Linked DNA regions of Alligator mississippiensis. The protein of the gene in region 1 interacts with the protein of each later gene in a pairwise test. Links are inferred from orthologs where the notes say so. Each region holds a gene or a part of one and is shown on either strand. Other genes may lie near its edges. The genes, in order: glutathione S-transferase A4 and C1H2orf50.

Region 1 (11,134 bases):
GGATCGGAGTTAAAGCTGGAACAATTTTGTTACATGAACTTTTGGATATTTAAGTAGGTAACCCCTTATTAACAGATGTCTTAACTCTTTATGAAAATACTCTTTTATATTCCCATAATATAACCCCATGGGAGCCAACCTTTTTGGCAGGAGTGCCCAAAACCAAGTCCCATGTGCTCCTGGAGTGCCGCTCCCATTTTCTTCCCCTGCCTGTGCTCCTGCCTGATCTGTTGCTCTGTTTTCTGCTCCCTTCCCCCTCAGCTGTGATGCTGCCTATCCCCACCCTAATCTGCTGCATGTCACACAGGTTGCCCATGCCACTCGTGGCACATGTGCCACAGGTTACCCACCCCTGTTATAAAGCATGACTCTCAGTTACCAAGCATATCAGAGCACCAGCTGCTGCTGCAACTACTAAAATATCTCTTTATTCTCTAATTTTAACTATTTTAACCAGTCAGCTCTAGTTCACAGTGGGCACATCTACACATTCATTAATGCACTGTGGTTACAGTGTGTGACAGGGGGCCTCCTGGGGCCGAACTCTGTGGCCCGCCCGCCTGTCACCGTGACAGCAGGCCTACTCAGGGCCGAGCTCTTCGTGGCCCGCCCGCCTGTCTCTGGGCAACCGCCCGCTTATCTCGCCCGCCACGCCTTTGATGATAATTGATTCGTATATCGATGTCAATTAAGCGGGAGGCTGCCCATTGTAATGCCCCGATGCCAGGGGCGCTCTGCGGCTCCGACCTCCCCTAATACCGCAGCCCAAGCCTCGCAGAAGGCATCTCAGTGTTAACACTATCACCGGCTCCATACTGGGCCCCAGAGTCGTCCTAAAAGGACCCCTCTCTGATCCTTCCTATCAGGTGGCCTCTCCGCCGTCATCCGGGCTACCTCGCCCTCCCGAAGCCATGTTCCCCTCTCGGGTGCGGTTCCCCCGGAACCTTTGGCCTCTTGCCCTGGCCCACCTCAAGGCCAGTCGGGACCCCAGCCCTCCGGCTCTTGGGCGTCCCTTGCGGTGGGCCCCTGGCCCTTTTGACCCTCTCTGGTCCTGGCCCCAGCATGGGCCAGTTGAGGGTACTCTCCCCTTCGGGCTGACCACCGCAGGACCCTGCCCTCTCGAGGCCTATCGTTGTGCTGGCCTTCTACCGGGCTCGATATACGGCCCCTCTCGGGCTCCTCGTCGCTGGCCCCCTTCACACTGGGGCCTCTCACACTACCGCCCCCTCACACCGGGGCTACGCAACCCACTGGTTGCAAGTGGCAGGCACACACAGTGCAGTGCCACACACCTCCCCGCTTAATGGGGCTCGGGGTCTATGCACCCCACACGCAACCCTCTGGTTGCACCTATCACCGCCCCCTTCCTGGGGCCGGGGTCTATACCCCCCGTACGCAACCCACTGGTTGCAAGTGGCAGGCACCCCCAGTGCACTGCCACACAGTGCATTAAGTTTAGTACTTGGTTAAGCAAGTACTAAATCAATGCACAATAATTTGCACTACTGTGCAGTAGTGCTGGCACACAGGTTTTTAGTGATGCTTACTGTGCAGAAGCCTAATACTACTGCGTAGTAGTGTATCAGCATGGGTTTTTGCCCAGCACGCTACTGTGTGTTTAGCATCTCGTGTAGACACACCTAGTTTCTACAAGAAGTCTTGATTGTTCTAAATGAGGGTGCTCTTACCCTGCTTGTTGACTTAGTCCCAGGAGAATGATACATCCAGAAGTATCCAGAATGCAAATGCTCCCTTTCCAACTGCTGATCTCTGCATCCCTCCCTCCCTTCTATCCTCTACAGGAGCTGGGAACAAGACATAGGCTATCCTAGGTCCACCAATATTAGACATACCTTGCTAATATAATACACTTACAGCAATCCTAAAATAAAGAAAACTGGCCAAGTCACTGTAGCCTTACCCTGCAGTAGCTTTTCATACTGTTCTCTTGTTTCCAGAAACTCTTCTACAAACTGGGAATGGAAGAACATAGAAAGGTAGGTTACATACAATGTGTTGGGAATTATGGGTCAGGGTTAAAATAGAAAACCTCATGTCACCAGTTCACAAATGAGACAAGTAAGGAAGTCACCCTGACTCTCCCTAGCTTTGTGGCCTGGACCACCAAGAAGAAGTACACAGTGAAAAGGAGTATTGTTTAGAATATCTGACAAATCTTCATCAGGTCAAACTTCCCTTATAATTTTTTATTCTAAGTAGAGCCTCACAAAACATTGCAGTAATAGTAAATGGTGACTAGTCAAATATCAGTCAAAAATTGTAAAAAAATTGCCAATAGATCCAAGTAATACACGGGAAAAGCACAAATTTTCGATTAAGAAATGTGTCAAAAACAATAAAATATCACATTTCTGTCAAGAAAACTACAAAAAATGTAGTTTATTTGTAAAATTGCTGTAATCTTTGACTGGTCAAAAATGCACTTGATTGACCAGTCAACTGACAATATTTGACTGGTTAATTGACCAGCTTGCCATCCCTGGAATGGAATTATATAATATGGTAGCCTATGTCAGCAAAAGACTGGACTCAGTGGCTCAATTCTGTTCCAGTCCTCTGTTTCTAAGCTATGAGCTAAATACACAAAAGTCAAGATAATGACTTTCTGATTAGGGAAAGAAAATTTAAAAAGCCTTACACTCAGTTCTTATGCCTGGCTGGTACTACATGAATCATAAACACATTGATAAGACCTTCAGCTCTATTACGATAGCGGAAGCTGCATATTTTTAAAACAACTGGGGATGATAAACCATTTCAGATTTTTCTTAGTCAAAACTATTGAGTTCTTTGTGCCTCTGTTTCCAAACTTAAGCTCTAGAAATATAGCGTTCACCTCTCACCTGCTCTATAAAACCTTCAATTCTTCCTAATAAAATTGCACTAAAAAAGAGCTTTTGCTCTCTGGTGTCAGAGGGAGTCTCTGAGCAAACCACAGCAGCTATATGAAATGTTTTGCTGAAGTATCCAACTCCAAATTACAGAAGGAATCCAGTATTAAATATACTGTCAGTAAGCAGTATATTTAATAACAACAAATAAAATCTATTTCTACATTTTTAGAAATGTAGATTTGGGTAAAATTTTACCCAATTTTAAAATGACTTTTTCTCAATTTAAACTCCGCAACAACTATCTTTCCTATATTTGTGTGTGAACTGCCATTAATTCTATAGGTGACATGCAAAGGCACAACACAGTTCAGCTTATAGTTTTAAACTTTTGTAACTGTATTTACTTAAATTTGACCATTAAAAAAAGTCCTGCTTGTGTTCAAAGCAGAAATTGAAGTGTCTTCTACCCTGTCTTCTATAGTCATAAGACTCAGAGCTCTTTTTCTGTAATAAATAAATAAAATTCTGGAATAAATTCAGCCAGACATTCTGTCTGAAGCCATTTGTTTTCTTTAGGACTGAAGACCCAACCTCAATCCCAGCAGCTGCCAGCAGCCATCGGACTGATTCCATTCGTCCCCTTCCATTGAAATAATAAAGCTTTGGTTTCCCAGCCATGAGTGAGGTTCTGATTGCCTGGGGAAAAAAACAAAAGGAGAAAAAGCTTGAGGGAGTGGTGAAGGCAGGGAAATCCACATTTAAAGTAACATTTTTACTACAGGCTACAATAGGTAGTCAGCTGATCTGCAATTGATAGGGTATTGTTCAAATTCACTGAACTGGATTCTGCCCTGTGTGTGTATTATGGGAGCTAAAGAAATGACCAGAAGGCAGAAGTTGTATAATTCCCCACCCTAACACTTTAATGACTTCTTTTGTTTTTCTTCTCAGCTCCTGCTTTCAGGATGATCAGACTCTGCAACTCTAGTTACCCTTATATTAAAAAAAGGGGGGGAAGTGCCTCTTTTATACTATTATAAGCAAACAGGGAACAAAACAATATTGTGCTAGTCACACTTACAAGTTGAGAGTATTATTTTAGAGATGGATCCTACGTGTGCTATGAAGTCATTGAACTTTGAGAATTTGTCTTCACGAACAGGGATCTCCAATGACATTATTTATATTTTTATTATTAACTGGCCACTGCGTTTATATCTATGTCAAGTTGCAACTACTATTATTAAAATATATTCTTTTACTGTAGCAATGGCAGGCTGAAGTGCTTTAAAAACATGAGAAGGTACTTGCCCAAAAGAACTTAAAACCTAAGAACTGTCCACAGAAATAAATAAAAAGAGCCAAAACATTTCTTGGAAATAACTCTAAATAGAACAAAGACTTGCCATACACTATTCAGTTTGACCACAGCAAAGCACAGATTCTACATATTCTGTTCTGAAAACCAAATTATTGTGGGATTTTCCACTGAAAGATTTTTACTGTTGCCAGGAACCAGCGTAAAGAATCAGCTTATGCTGCCATATCTAGAGAGGTTCACCTCCACCACCAAAATAATTTTGAGGGGTGACTGTACCTGAGGTCTGACCTGGACCCACCTCTACCTGTTTGTTTTTCAGCAACCCCTGCTAACACGCTGTACCATGCATAAGCACTCAGATTGCAGTCCCAGGATGTGCAGTCACTTTTTTATAAGCCTTAGTAAAATGAACTTTTAAACATCAAACTGGTCATCAGAATGATGAGAAACATTTTTTTGGGGGACCAATACAAACTTTATCCTTGTACTAACCTCGGGGAAAGGGTCCAACATATTTTGATCTGGCCACTACACCTACCTGTTCTCTCAGTGAACTCTCGAGCTCAGTCAATTCCATCTGTCGTTTCAACCCACTTTTACCCACTCACTCCTTCCACTGTCCTTTTGCTCCCTACCAGCAGACTTGTGTTCCCTGCGGACTGTTTCCCAACACCTATCAAACTGGGAAGAAGTTATGTTAGCTCTAGTAACTATGCTCTTATTAATCTCCCTAAAAAGAAACTTCAAACAGCTGGGGATTAAAAGAAATCTGCTTTCTTTGGGTTGCAAGACTAACCTGCAAGTCCTTGCTGTGCACCAGATCTTACTTTTTTTAAACAAGGAAACCTGTCTCAAATAATGAGACTTTGGAACCTGCTCTCCGTGGGAGGAGTCTCCAGTCATACCATATACAGAAGAGGGGTTTCCATTTTTATTCAAGAATTAATTCAGTGCTTTGGCTTCTGTTTGACTGCAAGGATATTTCCTTGTCTCTGTGTTACCATGTAAAATGATATTCTGGATGTGACAGCTGTTTTCACAAGGGATACTTATGAAAAATATGAGATTTCTTACCTTTGAGTTTTTAGTTCCTCTCTTCTGAGCACAACATTGAAGCAGGTGTTAATTCTTTGGTTGTGTATTACCAATTCTCTGGTTCAAGGGAGCTATGTTATCTTGTTCTATGGCATTGATGCCAAATTACCTTCCGAAGGGGGTTAGGGGGTTGGTTTGTAGGTGGGGGGTTTGTGGTTGTATTGTGGGGGGGGGGGTGAGTGTAGGGTTTGTGGAGAGCGTCTGCCACACATCTGTAAACCCCCCTCCCCATGGCATACAACCCCTGTTGCCAGCAGCAGCAGCAATAGTGGGCTTTCGGGGTGCTTATAGCCTGCTGCAGGCAGAGCCTCCTGATGGTGTCCCTGGTTGGCAGCAGGAGCCGACCAGATGTTGTTTGAAGGTGTGTGTCAGATCAGCTCCATGTGTAGCCCCCAGGTCTCAGGTGGTGCTGCATGTCACTGGGGGGCTTTGCAGGCAGCACACCATGAGGACCCCAAGGGCCTGCTGTTGGCTGCTGCTGCTGGTAGAGGCTGTGTGCCATGGGGGGGGGGTAGGTGGGGGACCCCTCCCACACAGTCCCCCTTACCTTTACAGTCCCCCTATATCCACACACAGTTCCCCCATGTCCTTGATTACTGGGGACAGAGCGTGGATCTCAGCCAGCTCTGAGCCACTGCTGCCAACCATGCCCTGCTTCCATTTCCTCCAGTGCTGGAGCAGCAGGGGCATGCAGCAGGCATAGAGATGCTCTCTACAGGTGCTAGAATGCCTCTTTGGTGGACCTAACCTCCAGTTGCTTCGAGGCATGCTGTAGGAGTGCTCCCTGCACCGCTTTTTTTCTGGTGTGTTTTCTTTTGATACTGGTATCAGAGTCTATGCTGCATAGTTGCAGTATGGGGAACATTTTTTCGTTTGTGGCATGCCTCCTGTGTCATTGAAAATTTGTTTGAGATGCTGAAACAGATACATGCTTGCTCGTGTGGATGCGGCCATGGAGGCTAAAGGGTAGATTAGGGGAGTTGTGTGTGTGTGTGGGTGTGTGCGCGCATTTGCACAAGGCAAAGCTTCTTGTAATATCTATTGTTCACAAACTGTAGTAGGTGCTTCTTATGAAAGGGCTCTGTAAATTATGAATAATAGAAACTATGCAAGATAAACTAGTAGTAGGGAATGCCGCCATAACCCTAACACCAGCTTACCTGCTATCTGGATTTTTGTTGTGGGGGGGAGGTTTGGCCATTAGATACCAGCAAATCAATGACCCGCTTCAGGTAATGGTGTTTGGTGTGGAAGAATACCACGCCCATAAATACCAGACCTGACATTTCATAGTAGGAAGGTACAATGGCATGGAGCTGGCATTGATGCTAGCTACAAAGGTGACTTATCTACTGGAGACATGGGATCCATCTGTGATGAACAAAATTTGAGATGAAGGAACGCATGCTGCATTACTATGACCTTTTAGCAGACCTTCTGGTCTGGCAGTAGTGGATTGCTCTGAAGTGAATTCAAATGGCCATTGATAAGAGCTGTAGGTTTATCATGTTCACAAAATAAACCGCCATTGATATAGTGATACCGGTCTCCTAGGACCAGGCCATTCCGGCAGGTAGAGCACGTAAAACACTTCAGATGATAGATGTTGGCTTGTGCCCTCATGACCAGCTCACTAGCAGGAATGGACTGTCCACAAGCACTGCAAGCACCACTGTTTCCAAATAACCCGATGTAGTCATTTTTGCACAGGATCATGCCGCTCTTGGGCTATTCCCCCTCAACAAAAACTCTACTTTGACAAGCTTATTTTTCACTACGTTTTGGCACACTCTTGACTAAAGTCCCTTGGGCCTGAGGCCTACCAACCTATGAGACGTTATGCATTTTTATTACAGCGTCCCTATGGTTAGCAGAAGCAAGATGTCCCTTTTGTGCCTATAATGAGCCAGTACTATTAGCATGTGGAAGTTCTTAATAATTTGAATGATTGTGGTCTTAAGAACAAAAAGCAAACTGCATGCTCTTAGCAGAATCATGTTTGCACCCAGACGTGTTACTTAGTATTCAAATCCACACTCATTACTCATGCTTATTAGTACTTACTCTTAAATTGGTTCTGATGAACCTGAGTCAAGCTACATAAATGATTAGTCAGTACGGCTAAAAATTTCAGCAATCTCCTATTTCTTCTGGCAAGGGGCATCACAGCAGTACATATAACATTTGAGTACTTCTGGACTTCTGGAGACAAGAAGTGAAGCTAAGATTTCTGTCACCAGAAGGACTTTACTGAAAGTAGCTCATTGGACAACGTGTTGAGAGACACTGCAGTCTGCTGAAGGGAAAGCTGGAGGTACTTGAATGTGTTTGCAGTTTTCTCCTATGTACTTCACTGACCATCCTCCCAGCCAAGTTTCCTTTTGCTTTAGAAAGTTGCAGAAACTAAGGACTGCAATATATTCATTTTACAGTCATAAAATCATCAAGGCTACCTAAAGTCCATTAATAATTACCACAAAAGAGCTGCACTAGAGTATGATTCATATGTCAGCTTTTGGTCAGTTATTAGGTATTAGAGAACTTGTAAACAGCAGTGACCTTCGGACTTGCTCTCCTCCTTGGCTATGTAAAAGGTTAGATTTAAATATTGTGGGTTTTATCAACTGGTCCTTCCAAATGGAGGGGACTAGAAGCTGGCAGGCCTGCGTGGGAACAGCACTGCAGTGGGGAATGCTAGCTCTGCAGTTCCCATCTTGCCCCTCTGCCCCCACCTCCTCTTCCACTACACTCTGAAGATTCCCTAGCCAAGGAGGCTGAAACTTGTGGAGAGTGACCCTGCAAACTTTCCTTGGAATGATACTTAGGACAGGTGAGCTCAGTTAGGACTGCAAAGGAGAATAAAACGAAACTGAAGTACAGCAGTATTCAGAAAAGCCTTGTGGCTCAAAGAAACAGTACTGCTGTCTCATCATTATTCCCAAGCCGACAAATGATCCTACACATCAGCTTCTTTCTGCACCTGTGAAGTTGGCACAGATGGTCTGTGGTCTCAGGGATGGTAGTTCAACAACATTTCCTCCTGCATCCCCCAGAATTATTCCAAAAGCTCCTGTTCCTCTCCATCTGTGACAGGCAACACAGCAACACAAAATAGATGCTGCGTATTCAGTCCTGAAGCCTTGGGCACATATTACATTTATAGCACTATACATGATCTTACAGCACTACAGAAAGCTAGTGTGCATACATTCACACTGTCTGCAGCACTACATAGAAGGCAGATCCACCACAAAATAGCACTCTTTTTGTAGCACTACAAGTGATCATGTGTTCAAGGCCTGAAAAACATCCATGGGAGGGGATTAAGGCCGGGGACAGGAAACTGTACACCTCACGTATACAACTCCCCTTCTCTCAGCAGAACACATTTATTTCTTTCAGATGATAATCTGCATTCTCCCATGAATATTTTTCATAAATATTGCTAAAAGACAACCTGTGAGCCACTGAGGCAGCAGCAGACCTTGGGCATTTGGTGAAGTATCCCAGAATATTCCAGTTCTAAGGACACAAGTCAATCTTCCTAGATTTCCTGGAACTCCAGTCTTGGGAAGATAGGTTAGATCAGCATCAAACTGCAAAACCACCTGTCTGAGGAACTGCATACACAAGAGAGAAAGTTCAGCCTACAGAGAAATTGAGAAAAAATGACATACCAGGCTGTTCAAATTTTTATTAAGAGAAGTGAAAAAAAGAAAGAGACCCTTCCCAAATTGAAGTTACAACCAGTATTAGATAGATGGCAGCAGTGAGCCAAGGTAGAGGAGTCCAAACCACCTCCTCTTGAAGATGAAGTCAAAACACTTCCATCATGTTAGTGAGAACAGGTTATTTAAATGCTGACCAGCACTGTACAGGAAGGGTACTTGCTCCCAGTATCACTGCCAGGGAAAAACACCTCTTCTTCACAGCAGCACATCTTTTCCTAATCCACAGCTGTTAGACAAGATGAACAATGTGGGGTGGAGAGGCGGGTGGAAAGGAGGCTTATTTGTGAACTGAGGATACTTAGACACAGTTACAAATATAGAACCCCATGATACCAACATAAAAAGCAGTCTTTCAAAGCATAAGTATATTTTACCTGGCTTGAGAGTTTATAGCAATACTTGAAGTTGTTCTCTGGCTTCTTTTTTTTTTTTTGGCAAAACCAGAGTGAAAACACCACGCGTTTTGGAGCAAGACATGCACGTTAGCTTCTGTTCCTATTCTAAAGCCTTGTTTTTGGGAGAGTAGCAGCAGAATTAGATTTGGTTTCAACCTAGACTTAGTAGGCTCGCTTTAGGAAACACGTGTAATTTGTTTTGCCAGAGCTGGTAGGGACAGTTTATTATCTAAGCTCTTAAATTCACTTAATTCAAAAACTGTTTTCAGTCTGAAGAGAAAGGCAGCCTCCATGTGTAGGCTGCAAGACAGCTTTGATCAACAAATTCAAGACATTACCACCACATAAGAATCAAAGAATTTTTTTTGGTTAGAAAAATGTCTTTCCAATTATTGAATGATTACACAGAAAAAAAAAAATTAACAGATACACTCATGCAATGTTAGCTCACACATCTTAAACTAAGGTTTATTAAGAGGAAGAAAATGTGTTGCTAATATCGTGACTTGATATCATTTCAGCTGATATGCTGGTGTCCCACAAAGGTTGGAAGGTCTAGGATTGCCTTTCTGGCTCTTAGAACTATTCTCATTTTTCCCCATGATTAAATTCACCCTTAAAATATTAAGTTTAAGCTTACAATTGAGACCTCTATCTGTATTTCATTGCAAACCCTGGGTGTTTGTTGATAGAACATCTTTGGGCTGGTAAAAAACTTCTAAGTTTCCTTGGGATGAAGGAGGGGGATGATGGACTCTGCATGCATGTGCTCATTGCACCCAGAACAGGAAGAGAAATTTAACAAAGGTTATATTCAGTAAACTGTTAGTAATTGAGAGTTTTGACTAATTCTCGCATGTTACATACAATGCTGTCAGATACAGTTCAACTAGCTAGTCAGTCAAGGACAGTGCAACTATCTCTGTAGTTTAATAGATTTCTCTCTTACAGAGTTTGAGAGAAAGTATTTGCTAGCATTGAGCTTCTCATTGCTTTTTGAACCAGCTACACACTCGCTTTTACATTATAATACATTTGGAGAACTCTTCTCACAGTCTCCACATATTTATCATCTGGGATAGGTTTCCTTTGGCTTCCAGGTTCCAGAAATTTCTTTATTCTGGGCATGTTGCTTATTCTTGCTTTAAACATCTAAAGAGACAGAACACAGCACAAAGCCATTTAAAGGACTAAAGTGAGGATGGGGTGGGAGGGGGAAGTTACATGAGTGAGTAAAAATCAATTGATTTGACCAACACCTGAATGACCAGCTTTTAATTTAACCTTAGTAGGGACTGTTTAAGTTTTCCAAACGGCTGCTCCCAATGTACTGAGGTGGTTCTTATCCTTTTTAATTTACAAGGCCCGGAGTTTAGCCAAATGAGAAAATCCCTGCAAGAATGGCATTTCTGTATAACCATTTCAGGCAAAGGATGTTTTTACCCTTGAATTGCATGAAAAAATGCTGTTGCATTACACTGAAAGACAAGTCACCACCTGCAATCTTTGTATCTGTTAAGCAGATACAAGAAATGAGGTACAAATTTAATAAGATACAATGGGACTTTAAGAGCCTAGCTGTGAACCACCACTCTTCATGGACTTATTATTGCTATTAATTTCACTGGAACAAAATGATACTAAATGCCCTATCTTTGTTCCCATTCTGGGAGTGTAAATAAGATTTAAACATGAGATAGAAGCATATAAATGATAAACATGGAAATGAGAAAGCTC
Region 2 (11,520 bases), about 19 Mb from region 1:
ATTATCATTAATTGAAATCAAGGAGAATCCAATCATCTTCTGAGAAGACTGACCCGTATTTACTGTTGAAAGGAATAAAAATCCCAAACAATGATCTCCAACAGAGCAAAGAGAGGACAGTTTTTCTAAATATTAAATTGAGTACCCAGCATTTTATGCACAGCTTTCATCAGAAGGCAGTTTCAAACTGTCTCATTGAATTGTCCACTGGTTAATTGTGTTGTCATTCGTTATTTTAAAGTATAAAGGCGGGTAGTCCTGTGACTTTACGTAGGCAGTTTCCCAATTACTTCAGTAAGGAGGTTTCAATTATTCCAGTGAGGAGTAAGAAGGGCTGAAGGACTGGGACCAAAATAATTGGGATGCACTTTTGTAAAAATACCTCCCCCTTCCCCACCCCACCCCCTTCCCCTTAAAATACACAATTCTGTTTGCAGTCAGGACTTACAGTCCCCATTTGAAATCAGTGTTATTTTTTTACCATTGACTTTCATGGGAGCAAGACTTTCCAGGAAAATTCATTGACTTCAGCATTTCACAGGCTATCAGTCAAAAGAGAATGTGGCCATATTGTGGCAGTGATTTTTTCTCTTTTTTTATATGTTTCAGCTTCCTTTTAAATGCTTACCCACTTATGGGCTTTGTTAATTATTTAAAAGAGAACTAGAACCCACACGTTGCATTTAATCTGTTTAGTACAAATATAGCAGATGACTGGCACTTCACATCTCATATTTACTCCCAGCTCTTAATCTTAAAGCAGTTGACAAATTATATTCGAGGGTGTTTCAATTAAAAAAGCTAGCCTACTTCAAACTGTTACAAACCAAAAGAGAACTTGTGTTACAGTTAGTAGTTTATCTCTAACTTACCAATGGGTCATAGTCCTTCAGGAAACTCCAATTTTGATACCTAGAAATAGAACCCAAGATTTTTACTTTAGTGACATGATCCTATTAGGTACTTTATTTTTTATGTTCTATTTTTGTAAATCAACTGAATGCTGTATCACAGAATCGCTGTTCTTTTTTGGTTGCAGTTTTATTTTAAACAATCCATTACTTTTTGTTTTTTCTTTCTAAAAGAGAATTGAGTAGATGCAGTGTCAGAATTGGCTAGTTTTTTAACTATAAATGCTTGCCATTCCTGTGTGTGTCCTACTGAAAAGAAGGGTGCATTAATGGAAGACCCCAGTCACAGTGTACAAATGCATAGTAAGAGACAGTACGTGTATTGAATAATAAAAAGAAGAGTTTCTACTTGTATGTTATGAGGAAACACTGTTCATTCCACAGAAATAGATAATGATGATAGTGTCTTTGCCTTTAGTATAGATCATATTTTGGAGGCTGTTTCCTCCCCTCTCTCTCTCCCTCTGTCTTCTCTCATAATGCCAGGTTCTTTTACCTAAGCCACAGGACCTGACCATTATAATAAAATCAGACTTCTTTTTTTAGAACCAAACTACAATTTCATCTTAGAATGAATCCGATTTTGAATTTGTATTCAACTTAATTGCAAGCTAATCATTCAAGTTCTTATACCATGCTCATCTGAAGTGAGCAACATTGTGGAAGCAAAATATGGGACACTGTCCTGGATGCTCTACAGACAGGCAATGAAACTAGACTTTGCCACTTCTGGTGCCAGCTAGTGTAGATGCCTTAATACAGCATGGCAGACGAGGGAATTTGGTCTTTTAAGGGACAGTTGCCGCCTGCATCAGAAGCAGTAGAGCTGCATTTGTGTGATGCCAGGCAATGTGCTGATGTGTCCTCTTGATAGACATTACCTGATGCTGAGTCAGGGCCAGGTTTTCAGATTTGTGATAAAAATCCCATTGCAAGAGTTGTTGGAAACACTACAATAAAGCCCTGAAATTTATGACCGTGTTTCCTCTTCTACCTGCCTCTCCCCTGCCCAGCCCCTCCCCCCAAGCATCCTCTCTAAAGTGAAAAAGCCACGCTGGTACAAGTGTAATATTGGTGGTATTACTATGCCTACACAGTAACTAGGGGTTATTGCCAGCACAGCTATCAGGTTTATGTTCTCTTGGAGCATGATTCTGTAGCCAAGTAGCTTGGCCACTCAGCTGAAGTAGCAGAAGGCCGGGAACCTGGTCTCTGCTCCTGTTTCTGTACTTGGGGACTGGTTTCCATGATCCAGGAAGTCTTTCTGGCCTGGGTTCCTTGGTGTGGGCCAACCCAGCTATGTTGGCAGAAGCCCCTAATATAGATCTAGACCAAGCTGTATGAGCAAGTAAGGGCAACTACCTGCAACAATGTTTTATGCAGCCAGCAGTAGAGATACAAGCCTAGTACTGAGAATCAAGAAACGGATTCTGTTCCCTGGCTCCATTACCAACTTGCCATATAACTCTGGGCACATCCCTTTACAGACTGTGTGGAGTTTCTGCATCTTGAAAATGGAGACAGTGAAAGTTTACCTTTCTGTAAGGTGCTACAACAGCTATGGAGGGAAAGTGCTATTATGGCATTGATAAAATAACAATGATAGTTACTATAATAGCAATGATAATGATATGTATTTGCATTCCTGTACTGAGAGAGGCCCCAACTATGGGTCTCCACTGCTCTGGGCATATATACAATATCTGTATCCAGAGGTACTAGCAATAGAGAAAAGCTTGGGCCTCTGCAATTTAACCCATTCACTTGCAGTCTGGTTTTCTTGTCAGGCCACTAGCAGGCAAAGGACTTCTCTTATCCTAAGTGTTCTGTGTGTGTGTGTACATGAGTGCACACATGTATATGTATGTAGAAGGTGGGGGGTGTGGATCTGGAACAGCTGGTGATATTTCTTTCAGCTCTGCCTCTAGGAGAGATAACAAAAAAATTAAAAGTATGTCACTGAAAAAAGAAATACTGACATGGTTTTTACTTACTCCAAGAAGCTGAGGAGTAAGATAAGTTACCAGAAGATGTATTTCCTCATTCCTATTGAATCCATCTGAGCGCCTTCTCCTCTCCTTCCTCCCTGGTAGCTGGGTAAGGCTGGCATACAATTACAACTCAAGCCAATCTTGGTTTCACAACGGACATTCTTGTAACCAGCCTGTTTATGTTGCACATCAGAGATTTGAATTCAGATATTCTGAGAGGCATCTTAATGCTTGGTTCTTTCAACTCAGCAGTGTATACCGCCTGTCAAAGCATAGTTTATGACCTGCATGTGCTGAACACCCTGCTGATGTATTCGTAACAATGGGATTTTCCCTGTGTGTATGTTTGCATGTGGGTTTGTGGCATGCAAGAGATTTACGGATTTGAAATACAGTAATTTTTGGCAGGACAGTCTGTCCAGGCTCCATTTCAGCCATTTCCAAGTAGTAGAGGACATGCAATAATATCACTCTCTGTGATAAATTACAAATGCGTCACGACATATCCTGGCTCTGTGGACCTCCACGTAAAGCTGAGTAGTATCCAGCATGCTGTCCCTTTGCACCTCCATTACAGCTCCAGCCTGACATGCCAGGAGATACTTTACTTGTGTGTTTTTGAAAAATGAAGAAAACAGAGGAGAAATGTGGTCTTAGCAGCAGCTGGATTCACAGCCTCATAAAAGCCTATGTAGTGCAAGTCTTTCCATTGATATATCGAGCTTTGCATTAGGCCCTTGGTCTGTGGGGAGCTGCAGTAGCACTGTTAAGAGGAGAATGTGATGTTGGACTCAAAGTACTTACCAACACTTTCTTCCCCTCCATTCGGCCTCCACAAACTCCCTCCAAATTTTGTCCTGTCGAACCTGGTCCTGCCGCAGGGCTACTTGTTCTTCCTCCCGGGCCCGGGCTGCCTTGGTGGCTGTAACAGCTCTTCCAAGCTGGGTGCTGCTGAAAGCAGGAGATGAGGATGAGGATGAGGCCAGTTCCACCAATGATTTGGTTGCTGATAACTGGTACCCAGCTGAGGTGTTTCTGAATCCAGGTGATCTGCTCCCCATTGTGTGTGTATCTACTCTCACGTAAGATGGTGTCACCACTAGGTAGGTTAAGAGGAGATGCTTGCCAGATTCATCCACCCTGCTGCTTTCTCTCCTCTCACCCTTGGCAAGTAAAAGCACAGCTCCAACTGTGACTGTGTACTATTTTTATTTCCCCTTTGGTTAAGCAGCACTTTCTACTAGTAGCTTCACTATAGCAAGAACTTTGCAAAGAACACTTGTTAGAAGAATAAAAATCCTGGCTGTAAACAGCAAATCCTAATGCTCAGCTTGAGAGACCAGTCAGCGTTGGGTGCAGTTGAGACCACGCTCCATGTTGCTTTCCCAGTCCCCAGGATAGGTGCTGAGCTAGCAGCAAAGTCTGCTGTAGAGAATGATGTTGAGTTTGTCAGGCTTAGGTTTTTGTTCTGTTTGTGCAGCAGAAATAAACCCCCTGATGACTGCTGGTTTCCCCAGTGTGTTTACTGTTGCCATTGGAAACCAGGCTTGCTCATGAATATTCACTGATAAGGGAGTAGAAACTAATGGAAGCAGCTATTGGGATCTTGACTCTGTGCTACTCTTCTTAAGACAGAGTTGCCTTTTCTTTAAAATAAGCAAGGACTTCTTTTCCAGACCTGAGAAAGTTCACTTTGTGTCTAAATGCTTTTCTAATATCTCTCCTAACTAGTCCAATAAAAGATATTACCCAAGAAACCCCTTCTCGAATATTTTCTGGATCATCACAGCTTCAATACTCCTAATCTGCTTTAAGATAAGGTCCTTCTGTGAATCAGCCTTAGTTTTACACTTTTGAAAGCCTCTTAATTTTAGGCTGAAGAAAGAAAACAACTGAGTAGCAGCCCTGGACAATCAATAATCTGTTCTGGAGAACTGATATTACTTTCTTATAGCTTTTTGAGAAAATAGGACAGTGGCTGCTAAAAGTCCCTGGACATGCTGTGGCTAATACACTTAACTGGAAGCTGGAAGCATACAACTGCCTCCTGCCTTATTTGCCTGGTAAAGAATTCGCTGTATATTTCCCCTAGTGAATAGTTTCACTGGATGAAAAATAAGGGGGGGCTCATGGTATACACAAATATTAATTCAGTGAATGGTGTTAAAAAAATGAACAATTTCAGAAAGTCAGATTGTTTCACTTAAAAAAAATGATTTTTTAATTTCTAAATGTTCTTGTTTTGAAACTTGCAAAAAGATTAATTTTTTTAAAAGGTTAAAAAACTGAAAGCAAAACAAAATATTTCATTTCAGGTCAAATTAAGTTTAGGGTTGGTTGGCAACTTTGTCTTTCCTGGGAAAAGCCAAAAAAAGAAGGGTTTGTGGTTGACCCCAAATAAGTTTTTCTTTTTTTTTTGGTTTCACTAGCAGACCACCATTGACTTCCATTTGAAATATTAGAATAGAGTCTCAGACAACTCAGTATAATTTTTGTGCCACTCCTATGTATTCTCCCAGTGCTGGTTTGTCAGCCGCTAGCTGGTCTTCATTCGAGACTTTTTCACCCTCATTTCTTCAGTGAGTTAATAATAAGTAAAAAAAACCCCCAAACCCAAAAAAACCCAACCCTGTATTTTTTTGCATAGCGCACTCCCCCAAATAAGACATGCATCTTGTTTTGATGACAGTAGGATAAAGAAAAAAAAGATTTGTTTTTCAGAGTTATGGCTCCATAGACCAGGGACAGAGTCTAAACTTCAAATCACTGACCCTCCATTTCCTGAATAACCAAAGCTGAAACCCTAGCTACTGCTGAAGACTAGTTCCCATGGGTACATCTGTGATATTGAAAAGAGATCAAAACAGTCTGCAAGGCTGTGAAACAGAAGAAGAGAGACCAGGAGTAGCTAAAAGACAGCAAAATTGCCTGAAGAAAGGTTAGCTTGATTAGGGAAACATGAAGACCATTAAAAAGAAGAGACAATCATTAACGCCTGTAGGATGCAGAGCCAGTTGACTCCCTGAGCTGCCTGAACAGAAATGCCACCGCTGCTGCCAGGTGAAGCAGGAAGCAAATCAGGGTACTTCTGTTCTGAGCAGAAAATCAGCTTTCCCACTTAAGATATGCACCCCATTTTGAGGGGAAATAGTGTGTATAGCATGCAAGTCAATATGGTACTCATAGGGGGAGTTATTGTTAAACTGTAACCCTTGCTAATTCTATATCAGCAGGCAGCCTTTGGCTGTGCTCCGTGGAAGTGCGACTCTAGTCTCAAATCTGGGTAAACTTATGCAAACTTCTGTACCTGTGGAATCCCATTTAAGTGGCATCCTGCACAGATTCACATGCTCAAACTCTGCACCTTGTGGAATCCTGTTACTAAAGAGAAACCGGAAGTCAAAGGAAGGTCTGTAGTATTATGACCCCAGTAACTGAGAAGAGAAGGTAGATCTTAGTAGGCTTAAACAGTAGACTGCAATTTTACTCCAGTGCAGAGCAGGACTATACATGGAAGGGTAGATGTTTTACAGCATTCATGCTGCTTCTCAGGACACAGTGGGCCATGGGAGATCGCTGTGGCCACTTCTGGGAGCAGCTGCAGTGATCAATCAGATCTTGCAGCAAGGCACCGGCGCTCCAGCCTGCCCCCCCCGCCTATTGCCTAAGCAGTGAGCATGGCCAGTCAGGGGGTGCACCGGTGCTCTCAGGGGGTGCACATGCACCCCTGTGCACCCTCTATGCGTCGCCACTGCAGTGGGCATGTCTGCATGAGACACTACTGCACAGTAGTTACCGTGCATTCATTTAGTACTTGTATAAGCAAGTACTAAATGAATGTACAGTACCCGGAGTTACTGCACAAGAGATGCTAATGGGCAGTAGCCTAATACTGCTGCACAGTAGTGTCTCGGCACGGTTTTTGCTACATGATGCTACTGCGCAGTAGTATCAGGCTACTGAGCAGTCAGCTTCTCATGTAGATGTGCCCAGTGTATAGGACTGGGAGAACAGGGCTTGGAAGTCATAAAAGGAAGTAGCTATATACCATTAATATGTAGCAGGGTGAATTTTCAGCATCCTGTTTTGGATATTGTTCTGAAATTTCTTGCTGCATGCCCAAATCATTCAGTAGTGCCATTTAACAAAAATGATGTCTTAAAGGTATACTTGCAAATAGTGCCCTATTTTCTCCCAGTTATTACGTGCCTTTGTAATGTTTATGATTGCTAAGCAGTGGACATTCCTGTAGAAGGAGATGACTGACTGATATAGCATGTGTTTCTTTTTATGGCATTCTTTATAGGGTTATATTGATGTTTGCTGGGGCTTGATGTGCTAGGAATTTTAATGTGACCTGATTTTAATGTGCCTATGTATTTTTGGCTGGGGAAGGGGGGAGATTTTTATAAATGACTCAGGGGTCTGTTGCATGTGGTTCCTTCAGCAGTCCTGTATCTAGATACTGGCAGTATAATTAATTCCTAGGAAGATTTTACATTATGTTCTTTATTAATAGTTATCCAACAAGTGGTGATTTGAACAGTGAAATATTACTGGAAAAATCAAATGTATGTAAACTGCTGTTTCCCTAAAGAAAAAAAAAATTTTTTTCCCTACAGGTAATTTTAACTTGACCACAAGAGGGTATTGTCGTTTAAGTTATGCAGAACTTAAACCGATGAACTGTAACATGCATTGTCTTACTTCTAGTACATAAGTTTCTCCAAAATGATCATTTAAACTACATAGTAGTGAGAAGAAATATATTTTTTAAATCAGCATCTGCTTTATTGATCCAGCAGCAATTTCTGATCTGCATTTCATAGAGATCATTTTGGTTGGTGAATTTGTCACTGGGACCTTCATCCTCTAATGGTGATGGAATGAGAAGAGGGAACCTGCACTGATTTTATAGGAAGAGTAAGAACTTACTAATTAGAAAGCATCATTTTTTAAAATATTTAATGGAAATCACTTGAAAAATACAAAAAATCATTTAATTTTTCTACTCTAGAAGGAAAATAATATCAGTACAGATTTTGGACTATGGGTGTAGGGAAGGAATGAAGATTATTATGAAGTCCACTTTGTGAAAAGTCAGAAGGTACTGGCATATGGAGTTAAAAAAAATTCTTTCCAACCTAAGGTTCTGATCCTGTATACAGAACTGCAGTGCTGGATCCTTGTGTTCAGGCTGAGCTGTGTCAAAGTTGGTGAGACTCTTATTTGACATCCCAAGGCTAAGTACATACATTCAAAAAGCCTGAACCTGAATTGATTCAATCTTTGCAGGTTAGTCTAACCTGGATAGATTGAACTGATTTGCAAGTGGTTAGACATTCACTTTGTATTCAGGAAATGCAGGCACATGCCTGCAGTGGCTCAGGCTAGAAGCTAGGGGGTACTAAAGCAAACCCTCCCTTCCCTTCCCTTTCATAGGACTGACTTCTCATTCAACCTTAGTCATTTGGGCTGAGAAGTCAGAAGTGGCTAGACATGCTAGCCACATGACTTTCTTATGAGCCACTGGGGACAGAAATTTGTCAGCCTTAGTCCTAAGGTCTGCTAGGATCAGGAGTACCTTTGACCTAATAAGAACAGAAATTACAGAGCATGGGTATGAGCTATGACCATCCATGGACAAGGTTTTCTGGGTTGCTGCAGGTGGACAACCCCCCAAACTAACACTATGGAGAGGAATATATCAGAACTGTAAGGACTCACAGATCTCACATAGAAAGTTCCTGTGACCCTCATACCTCTCATCTTCCCAGAGAGTCCGTCTTCCCACCAGGTTATTTGGGCTGGACAGAAAGGTAGAGTTACTTCCATTTTAGGACTGTAGAACTCTAAAGGATTAAAATTTGAGAAATTTTTCTGCTGAAACTAGAACATACATGTGTGTGAAAAACCCTGGTTTCAATTGATAAATGTTTTCCACTGGAAAAAAACAATCATAAAAAACAGGTACATTCTCAATTATCTCTAGGCAGACAAGGTTCTTTGGGTAAATCTGATATCTTTTATTAGACCAACTCAATTATCTCTAGTGTTTTTCTAGATCAGTGATTCCCAATCAGGGTGCTATAGAATAGGAATCTATAGGAATCTAAATAGGAAATCCATTTCAAATAGCACAGTGTTAAAACACTCTGACCAGTTGTGGTCTGAGTTCTTTGCAAAAGAAATATTGCTCAGTTATGTTTCTATAGTCAAAACAAATCAAATCAAAACTATGAGCTGTGTCACCTGTCAGCTCTGTGTTCCTGAGGGAGCCCTGGCACCCAGCTTGCTGGATTTACAATGGACTTTTTCTCCCCCACCATCTAACCAGAACTAAGCAGAAGTAAAGTTTAATAGGCATCTCGGGCCGTACATTCCTCAGTCCCACTATGGGAGGCCTATTTAAACTTGATTGACTAAAACTTGGTTGCCAGGTTAAGGAATGCTGAGGCAGGAGACCAAGTCAGAGAGGGTATGGGCAACATTTGAACAATGGTAAAGGTTTATCACAGTGTCCAGACCATTGGAGTCCTGACCACAAATGCTGTTATATTTTTCCCGGGATGACTGGTGGAAGTCCTCCCCACAAAGTTTATGAACACTCCAATAATCCCCTTAAGTCTGTTAAAAGACTACAGTAAGATCTGGAAAAGTCATGCTAAGCTGAGGCTTATTCACAACAGGTAAAAATACAAAACCCTGACAGCTATCTATTGTTTCTGAAGAAACAAGGAGGTATCCCATCCAGTATATCTGCTATCCATAAGAATTTCAAGCTGGCTCCTAAGTGTCTGGTTACTTCTTAAAAACTTATGTTTTTCCTGCTTATTGATCAGTTTCTTGAGATGTTCCAAACCAGATAATCCCTTGTCAATAGAAAAGACAATTATTTACACAATTAAAAGAATACTTTGAAGCAGCTGAACTGAGGGTATAAAAATCTGTAAAAACAGCAACCTGTGAGCTTCAAGAGAAGAAATCTCTCTGACACCGTTCACTGTTGTTCTTGAGAAGCTGGAAGAAACGGATTGTTTCCCTTCAAGGATTGTGCTAAGAACTTTACCTGTCAGCATTGGAACCAGAGTGCCTTGGACTGGTGAGACCCTAGTTCTCGCTCTCTCTCTGTTTTCTCTTCTTCTCTCTAGGCATAGATTTCTGAACCTGAATTGTATTAGTTAAGCTTGAGCTAAGTTTCCCCAAATACTTAGTGAAACCAGGGTAGTATTATAATTGTTTTGATAGTTTTCCTTTGCATGTCTATTATTACTAGTACCATTATACATTTCATATAGGCAGCAATAAATAACTGTTTATAGTCAAACTGGCTGTAACTGGGTATATTTTTCCTTCTACTTTCCTTCCCCACTTGCTCTGCAGCAACACTTCTTTTACCTAAGCTAAAGATCCCTGTGATGCCCAGAAATACTGTGGGGTCTGCTCAAGAGGCTACCACTACTAGGACAGCTAGGGCAAAAGATTGGGATGTGCTGAGTTTGAAACACATAAGGGTTCAGCTTGAACAGGCTGATTGACCCAGTTTGGCTCAGACGTGCCCTTATGAATTGAATGCTGGCCCATGAGGGTGTCAGATAGACACCCAGCTGGATTCAGAGGTATTCTGTTTACCTGGGTGCTTGTGTCTGACTGCATTTTATTGTTACCTTAATGAACTGATTCCTGGCATATGAGGGTGTCAGCCTGTCCATGTTGATCAACCCAGCCGGGTCAGGCATGTCACATTAATCTGTGTGTTTGTGTCTATGACTGATTTGGTGACTGGAGGAACCCAGCCCCATTGAAACTGAGTCCTGCAAGATAGCTCCATTGGGGGTGAGGACTTGCAGAAGGGAGAGATACAGCTCCATACAGAAACACAAGTAACACAAGCAGCATGTTGTAGAATTACAAAGACCCTAGAAATGTATCCCTAATAAATGAGCGCAGCCGGAAGTGACAGGCAAATCTGGTGACAGCTATCATTTTCCAACGAGTGCCTTGAGTCTAAATATGTTGAGAGCCACAGCCCTAGATGGTTTGCAGAAAAAAATTTGCTATGTCAGTAATTGAAGCAGAAAGCAGTGTGTGCACAGCCTGCTGCAGATCCTTGTCCCAAGAGTACAAACACACTCATTGAGCTTGCAAGTTCTGAGGAAACCCTTCATCGCCTTTACACTTAGATTATGGTTTATGGGCAGTTAACTGCCAAGCTTAAATGAGAAACATGGATGGATGACAGGCAAAACTTAAAAGCCCAAAGGCAAGAGAAGCCCAGTGACCAAAACTGAGAAATGCAAGTTTGTGTGGGAGTAGCTAGGGAAGTTTAGACAGGGGTGTCCCTTTTTTCTGTAAGGGTAGGGGCTAAGAAGAGAAGACAACATCAGCTATTGAGACAGCAATGGAAGTGACCTAAAGAGAAATAGAGATAATGATGATAAATGCAAAAGCTAAAGGATATATGTTATTCTAGAGTAGTACCTGAGAGAAGTTGCTTACGTATGAAATATCATCGGAGATAGAGCTCATAGAAGAGAAGGCTCAGATTTAATTTCAGTCCCCAGAGAAGAAGGGTGAAGGCGTGAAGAATGTGGAGCATTGAAAAGCTTGTTTAATTC

Evidence for each region.
Region 2: the proteins of glutathione S-transferase A4 (region 1) and C1H2orf50 interact in binary tests that used the Homo sapiens proteins (3 or more experiments, as listed by UniProt). The two-hybrid records come from large-scale screens. The link is inferred for Alligator mississippiensis from reciprocal best matches to the Homo sapiens genes GSTA4 and CIMIP5.

Annotation. Positions count from the first base shown.
Region 1 is NC_081824.1:47,972,860-47,983,993, forward strand, and holds the start of glutathione S-transferase A4, read right to left. Parts: upstream 4,947-11,134; 5' UTR 4,754-4,946; coding exon 4,715-4,753; intron 3,552-4,714; coding exon 3,447-3,551; intron 1,974-3,446; coding exon 1,922-1,973; intron 1-1,921. Other genes in the region: glutathione S-transferase 3, read right to left, coding at 10,403-10,549. UniProt on the Homo sapiens protein: Conjugation of reduced glutathione to a wide number of exogenous and endogenous hydrophobic electrophiles. This isozyme has a high catalytic efficiency with 4-hydroxyalkenals such as 4-hydroxynonenal (4-HNE).
Region 2 is NC_081824.1:28,980,226-28,991,745, forward strand, and holds the start of C1H2orf50 (uncharacterized protein C2orf50 homolog), read right to left. Parts: upstream 4,397-11,520; 5' UTR 3,964-4,396; coding exon 3,707-3,963; intron 913-3,706; coding exon 873-912; intron 1-872.